2 linked regions of the Ovis aries genome follow. The protein of the gene in region 2 purifies or fractionates together with the protein of the main gene of each other region. This does not show direct contact. Links are inferred from orthologs where the notes say so. Each region holds a gene or a part of one and is shown on either strand. Other genes may lie near its edges.

Evidence for each region. Proteins that work in one complex are often made in the same cells at the same time.
Region 1: the proteins of PRPF8 (region 2) and SART3 purify together in Homo sapiens (affinity purification with mass spectrometry; 4 studies listed by BioGRID, with this or other methods). This does not show direct contact. The link is inferred for Ovis aries from reciprocal best matches to the Homo sapiens genes PRPF8 and SART3.

The regions. Positions count from the first base shown.
Region 1 is NC_056070.1:64,542,512-64,546,161, reverse strand, and holds part of SART3 (squamous cell carcinoma antigen recognized by T-cells 3), read right to left. Parts: intron 2,546-3,650; coding exon 2,419-2,545; intron 1,311-2,418; coding exon 1,206-1,310; intron 1-1,205. UniProt on the Homo sapiens protein: U6 snRNP-binding protein that functions as a recycling factor of the splicing machinery. Promotes the initial reassembly of U4 and U6 snRNPs following their ejection from the spliceosome during its maturation.
Region 2 is NC_056064.1:22,665,234-22,668,883, forward strand, and holds part of PRPF8 (pre-mRNA-processing-splicing factor 8), read right to left. Parts: intron 3,649-3,650; coding exon 3,485-3,648; intron 3,056-3,484; coding exon 2,929-3,055; intron 2,828-2,928; coding exon 2,635-2,827; intron 2,364-2,634; coding exon 2,176-2,363; intron 2,023-2,175; coding exon 1,784-2,022; intron 1,569-1,783; coding exon 1,422-1,568; intron 1,260-1,421; coding exon 1,049-1,259; intron 859-1,048; coding exon 742-858; intron 1-741. UniProt on the Homo sapiens protein: Plays a role in pre-mRNA splicing as core component of precatalytic, catalytic and postcatalytic spliceosomal complexes, both of the predominant U2-type spliceosome and the minor U12-type spliceosome.

The sequences.
Region 1 (3,650 bases), on a different chromosome or scaffold from region 2:
GTTTACAGGGGGCTCTACACTTCTCACAAGGGGAAATGCCCACACGGGGAGTGAGGAATATTAGACAGGGAAAAGGGATATTTAATTAACAATGGGGACTTTTTTAAAAAACATTTTATCCACAACATTGTCTGATACAGTCCTCAGTGTCTGCAGAGAAAATATTTTAGAGACTTGATATACTTATATCAAACTGGATTTAAAGAGAGATAAAGCGTTCACACTTCACTTTCACTGAAGTGAAAGGCCAGCAGACCAGGCAGATCTCCGTGGTGATGGAAGATTCTGTAGCTCGAGACAGTGGTGAAATAAAATATCACAAAACTATATGCAGACATTGTACGTACCAAGGGCCGTTGCCTTGAGTTTGTCCTACAGTCATGGGGCTTTCCTGGTGGCTCAGTGGAAAAGAACCTGCCTAGAGCGCAGGAGATGCAGGTTCGATACCTGGGTTGGGAAGATCCCCTGGAGGTAGGCATAACAACCCACTCTAGTACTCTTGACTGGAGAATCCCATCAACAGAGGAGCCTGGTGGGCTACCGTCCATAGGGTCGCAAAGGGTGGGACACGACTGAAGCGACTGAGCACGCATATACTACAGTCGTAAGATACTGGCGGAGACTGGATCAAGAAATGACACAAGACCTCTCTGTACCATCTTCGCAAACTCCTATAAATCCATAATAATTTCAATTTTTTTTAAGTTTTTTAGTATGAGCTGGCTGGATGGCATCACTGACTCGATGGACGTGAATCTGAGTGAACTCCGGGAGTTGCTGATGGACAGGGAGGCCTGGCATGCTGCAATCCATGAGGTCACAAAGAGTCAGACACGACTGAACGACTGAACTGAACTGAGTATGGGGGAAAACAAGCATCCTGTCCAAAGCGTCTAAAATTCCATTCAATATGTAAAAGGTAGCCTTTAGTCACCTGGAAATAGCAGCTAAGTTCTCCCTGGAGATAAATGCTGGGGGAGAGTCTATTCACCTCCTCCCTTCAACTGTTTCTTCCACGCGCATTGTGAAACCAAGAGCCTCAACTGAAAACCACAGAGAGTGACGATAATACCCGCACTCCAGTCTTCCCCACTGCTGGTCGAAGGACGTTCCCGGGGGCAGCGCCTCACGGTGTGGCCCGGCGGCCGAGAGGGACGCGAGGGGAGCCTGCCAGACCCGCCTGGGCCGGCCCGCAGGGGACTCACAGATATAATCCTTCACCGCTCTCTCGAAGAGGTCGTACACGTGCTCCCGGTCCAGGCCGTCCATGGCCATGCTGGTCTCGTCGTGCAGCCACTCCAGCCAGAGCTCTGCAAGACACCCGCGCCCCGCGTCACCGCCCGTCCCGCGGCCCTCGCTCCGAAGGCGGGCAGAGCGGGCGCCGCACCCCCAGGCGTCAGCACACACAGGCTTCGTCTGCCTCATCCACCCTGGCCCAGTTCAGAGAAATTCAATTCTTACAGCCTGCACTAAGCACACACGAGGCTGACGCTTCCAAGAAAGATCAAGTCGCTGGAGTCATACTATCCCTCCAGCTACGGGGCGTTTCATTTTCTGCAAAGTACTTACACACTTTCTCTTTCAGTATCTATCAAAATCCTGTGAGGCAGGCCACAGTGACACTAGTAACAGTGGCATCTATCCAAGCATTTACGACACGCCAAGCACGTGTTAAGCAAGGCACACAGAATGCCTCGTAAGCAGAAACTACTGTTATCCCCGTCGTACTGCTGGGGAAACTGAGTCTTAGAACGCTTATATAATGCACTTAACGTCACACAGCTAGAAAGACATCTGAAAGGCAATCGGATTTCAGCTTCTACACTCCACAGTCATGCTTTGTGGGAGGGAAAGGGGGATAGAGCTGGATCTAGAATCTGTGTTACCTCACTTGTCCCTAAAAGATCAATTACGTATACGCATAGAGATTTAACTACAGAGGTGCTTGGCGTAATCACATTTCAAATAAGCAACTTAAGTAGAAATAACTTAAATGCCCAATTACTGTGGACCAAATAAGGTATGAAACATTTAAATTTAAAAGTGCTTATGAAAGTTTAACTATACTACAGTTACAATTATCTGTTTCTGAGAGAACAGATTAAATACATAAATACCAGAATGGGAAACAGAAAGGGAACGGGGAAATTTTAATGACATAGAAATATTTTATCGTAACATTACGAGAAAGAAATCAAGATTTGAAATGTGACTCAGTGCTGCATGACCACAACTATGTGTAGCAAAACCCTAGAAGATGAGAAACGAAAAGTCGCTGCCTTTGGATGGATTTTCTTCTTTCCACTACACTTATCTATTCTGAACTTTTTATGAGGAGCATGCCCCACTTTCAGCACGGGAAGAAAGACCCGTCAACTCTCTGCGCTTGTGAGAGCAGCCCGGCTGCGGAGGCACCACCTTCGGTCAGAGGGAAGATCTCGCTCATCTTCTGGCGCGCCGCCCTCACTCTGGTCAGCTCCCCTTCCAGCCGCAGCAGCCGGATCAGGTCCACGTGGCAGTTGTAGTCGTAGACGTTGATAGACAGCTGGAAGGAAAAGGGACACAGGTGGAAACTTAGAATGCGATCATCAAAACAGCTCAGCTTCTGTCACCACTGGCGAAAGCGCACGCCTGCTACGAGCACAAGATATGTGTTTTCTGGAAGAGTCACAGAAGCAGCGAGGCAACATTTCCCTCAGGAAGATGGAGAAAAATACACAAGAGACTTTCTGTTTCTTCTGAGCACACCACTCGGCGAGTGTGACCTCACTTCCCTGACCAGGGGTTGAACCTGGGGCCCTGGCAGAGTCCTAACCACTGGACCGCCAGGGAATTCTGAGAGACATTTTAAAATAAATGGAACACTCCTTCAAATCTGTTACAGGTCTTGTCGGAACACACTTGGTTCTCCCAGAAACACAGGAAACAGCCTAATGAAACAAACACAGAGTGACCTGAGGCAAATCACTCACTTTTCTAAGCTTCCCTTCTCTCATCTGTAAAGTAGGATACACCACCAGAGGGTGAGAATTCTGAAAGGTAACTCAGTATCACACTGTAGCGCATGCCAGCGACATGTATGAAGAGCTCTTTTCTTTTACTGACAAACAAATGAAAACCCCACCAGGAGAAACAAGAATGGGGACAGACTGGTACCAGACGAAGGTGAGTGACAGGCACAAAAAGATTTATTTTATAGGTACAAAAAGATTTATTTCAAACTTTCCAAACTAAAAGTTTAATAAACTAAGATCACTGCTTCCAAAGATACTGGACATCTGAAACAAAGGGAAACTAAAAGCACCTGTCACTAGCAGGCTTTTACTCTTAAACAGCTAGAGGAACCTCTTCAAAGAGAAGGAGAATGATAAGAGAAACCTTGGAGCATCAGCAAGAAAGAGCAGAACCACAGGTAAGCACAACAAACGACCCTTCTCTTCCTGACTCTCCTAAACTGTGTGTGATAACTGAAATACTTTAAGACTATCTGATACCCGAAACGACGACACTAGAAAGGAAAAATGGTAGAGACCTAAATGGGAGGAATATTTCAACACTTTACTCAGGGATAAAACACAGATACCATGTAAATCAAATACACTGAAATACTCAAAGCAACTACTAAGAAACTATACAGAGCAAGACTCTAA
Region 2 (3,650 bases):
GCTGATCACCTCACGACAGTTGTTTAATCTGCCCGTAAAGTTCACAGTTTTGCCTGCTTTGTGATCACTAGTGATTTCAAACTCACCAGTATCATGCTGCCTCGTCACCACAGCTAGAAACTGGACAATGACTTTGAAATACAACCTGATAAGAACCTAGACTTCCCTTTCTTTTTGGTATAACTGATGCTCTTGAGAGCAACAGCCAGGACATTCACGTGCACCATTTCTAGAACGGGAAAACAGCAGAAAGAGCAAGGCGACTTTTTAAACCTTGATAAAACATAAGCCCACACAGTTAAGTAATCTTCAGATTACTCTTTCTCAATTCCAGCTGCCTTCCAAAGGGGTGGAGTGGGGGGCTTTGGAAGCAACTGAAGAGGAAATAAACAAAGATACCTTGTTATACTTGCTTTTTAACATGCATGCTATATTAAAGGTCAAAAGATTAAATGTATGACCTGGATAACAAGCCTTCAAATTTTTTTTTTTTTTTCAAGCCTTCAAATTTAAAAATCCCACTTCTACTCTCAACTTAGAAGCATCGCAACTACACGGATGTAGGCTATAGAATTCCTACAGGGAATTCTCAGGAAACCACTGTAAATTGATCTGACACTCTAAGCTGCTGTACCATGAAGCATGGAGACTGTACTCTGAACACAGCTGGGAAAGAAGAACAATAAAGCAGGGAAGGACCGAAGGGATGAGCTGGACAGAGGCCACGACTACTGTGCGTACCTTCGTGAAGGTGGTGGAGCCAGAGGCCATCAGGATTTGGCGCACGCGGTTGTGGAAGCGCTGCATTGACTCATCATCCACACGCAGGAAACACTGAGCTGTCCGCTCTTTAGTCACCTACATCACAAGCTCAAGGTTAACCACCTCTGGAAATGCCAGGGGAACAAGAAACAACTCTGACCACCACTAAGCCCTAGGCTCCCAGGAAGGCCCAGCTGACAATGGAAAGTGTGCTGCGCCTTTCACCCCACACCTGTGAGGATGCAGCTGGGCCTACTCCTGCCCCCGGCCCCACCTGAGACTGTACCTCGTTCTGTAGGTTCCAGACCCCGTCCTTGTGGGTGAACTCCTCATAGCTGGTGCGGCACTTAGGCAGGATGCGGCACTCAAAACCACACATGTTGAACAGCAGGTTGGGGTTGTCCTTACTGTACACGGATACGAAGCTGTTCTCCCACTGAACTGTAGTCACTGAGCGTGGCAGACGGTTCTTGATGTCCCAGAACACTGCCCGACCCCTGCCCACAGAGAACACAGGGTCACATAGGTCTCTTGGAAGGAGCTTCCCTTCAAAGGCCAGCTAGACTGATGACGTCCTGACAGAACACGCCCTCCCACCCAGGACACCGCCTGATCAAGTCCCTTTAATCATCCTCTGGGTCCCTCAGGCTTAGACTCACAGGTTGACATCATGCTTCATTAGGCGCATGCGGGCGTCTCGGGGCCAGCACTTCTTGTTATTGTAGCCAACGATGTTTTCGTTGTTGGGGTCAGGGTGCTCTGTCAGGTAACGCTGGATAAGGTCCCGAGCCTCATCCGCTGTGAACCTACAGAGACAAGGTGCGTGGCTGAGGCCCAAGGACACTGGATCTCATGAGGCCTATGGCTCCACAGGTGGAGGCCACTCCCAATTCCCACCCTACTCACAGGACTTCATCCCATTTCAGAGCGCCAACCCAGCAGCAAGTCAACTAAAGTACAATAGCTGCTTCAGAAGCTGGGCAAGGACCTCAACACAATAAGACTCCAGGCAAGCACTCACCTGAAGAATATATGGATGCGATCAATGTATCTGCAGAAGAGACGGATGGGGTGGGCAGCCTCGGTGGCTATGTCTTGGAAACTGAGGAAATCATTTGGCATTTGAGGTGGCCCGGCCATCTCACTGGCTCGGTGCAATCCCAACACAAGCAAGTCCATCACCAGGCCATAGTATTGTACGATGAAAGAGGCAAACTGCAGGCCTCTGATGATCCCATATGAATTTGTATGGTTCATGTCCTAGAAAGAAAGACAATTCTTAACCACAGCCAAATCCCAGGGTTTTCAGGGCCCATCCTCTTCTGCCTTCCCCTCGCCACGGAAATCCCAACTCAGTGGGCCCGACCACCTCCCGCTTCCCCCAATTCCTTGCCACCCTGACCCAAGACACACCTTGTAATTGATAACGACGTTGTTCTTGGCTGTCATGTAGTCAGCTATGTTGTGGTCAACGATGAGACGCAGCAGCCTATTGAGCAAGGTCAAGTCAATCTTCTCATACATCTTCTCAAATCGTGACTCCAGCATGACATTGCACTCACCCTCGCTTGTCTCCCACACATCCTGCAGGTTATTGATGCCTGGGGGGGAAGAAACACAAAGCTCTGGCAGGTTAGAAGTTCCCTTTCAGGACTAGAGCCTACAGAGCCGTCACATTCCTATCCAGATCTTAAGACCACTCCATTCATTGGATTGCTAGCTAGCAGAGTCAAATCACTCAGTGTAACATCAACACCATTTCTTTGGTACCAGGCATCAAGAAAGTAAACTAATTATGCTATCTGGATGAGAATTTCAATGTAGAAATTAAGGTATCTGCCTTCCTTAGAGGCAACCCCAGAAAAGTTTTACCTTGGCACCACTTGTAAACAAGCAGAGGAGGTGGTTCTGTGTCTGCAGGCTTGATCCAGGGTGGGAACAGGCGGCGCTTGTCAGCTTCGTACCATAGGTACTGGTCCAGGTAGGCATCAGTGATCTTCTCCAGCGGCTCCACATCATACACTGGCACCAAGTGGCTATAGAGGTCCATGAACTCAATGCCCACCTGTGGGACAAGGAAGCTGGCTCACACCAACCCACCAAACACCCTGGGTGCCATGAATGAATCACACAGCCAAAAGAAAACGTGTGGGGCATCTCACTCACTTCTTTAAAGGCTCTCTGTGTGAGGAGGTGACGCTTGATGCGGGACAGCGCCTCATGGGGGTTGTCATAGGCCTGCTCGATCAGACCTAGCTCCTCCCTCTGAGACTGGTTTAACCGAGACTTCACACTGACAAGGCAAAAGAAAAGGTGAATGAGGGCACTTCCCTGCTGGTCCAGTGATTAGGAATCCACCTGCCAAAGCAGGGGACATGGGTTCAATCCCTGGCCTGGCCAGGAATATTTCACATGCCGTGGGGGTAACTAAACCCATGCACTGTTAACTTCTGAGCCCAAGCTCCAGAGCCCATGCTCCACAAAAGAAACCACTGCAATGAGAAACCCACACACTGCAAGTAGAGTAGCCCCTGTTTGCTGCAACAAGAGAAGGCCCAAGGGCAACAATGAAGACCCAGTGCAGGCAAAAAATAAATTTAAACAGTGTGAATGGGAAAACCAAGAGGAAGCCATCCCCAGAAAGGCCTTCTGTGGACTCTAAAAATGATGCCACTCTGTGTCCATCACCTCCCTACAGGGACCTGTCGACTCTACTCCTCACCTGTAAGCTTCCTTGAGCCGCTCCAAAGCCAAGATCAGCAACTTGGTGTCATGCTTATAGGAGAGCGGGGGGAAGGGGATGGGCGAGAATCTACGGCTTTCCAGCCAATGCACAGTTGTGGTATACACTGCCACCGCTTCCTCTGCTGTGATGTATGGACCATCCT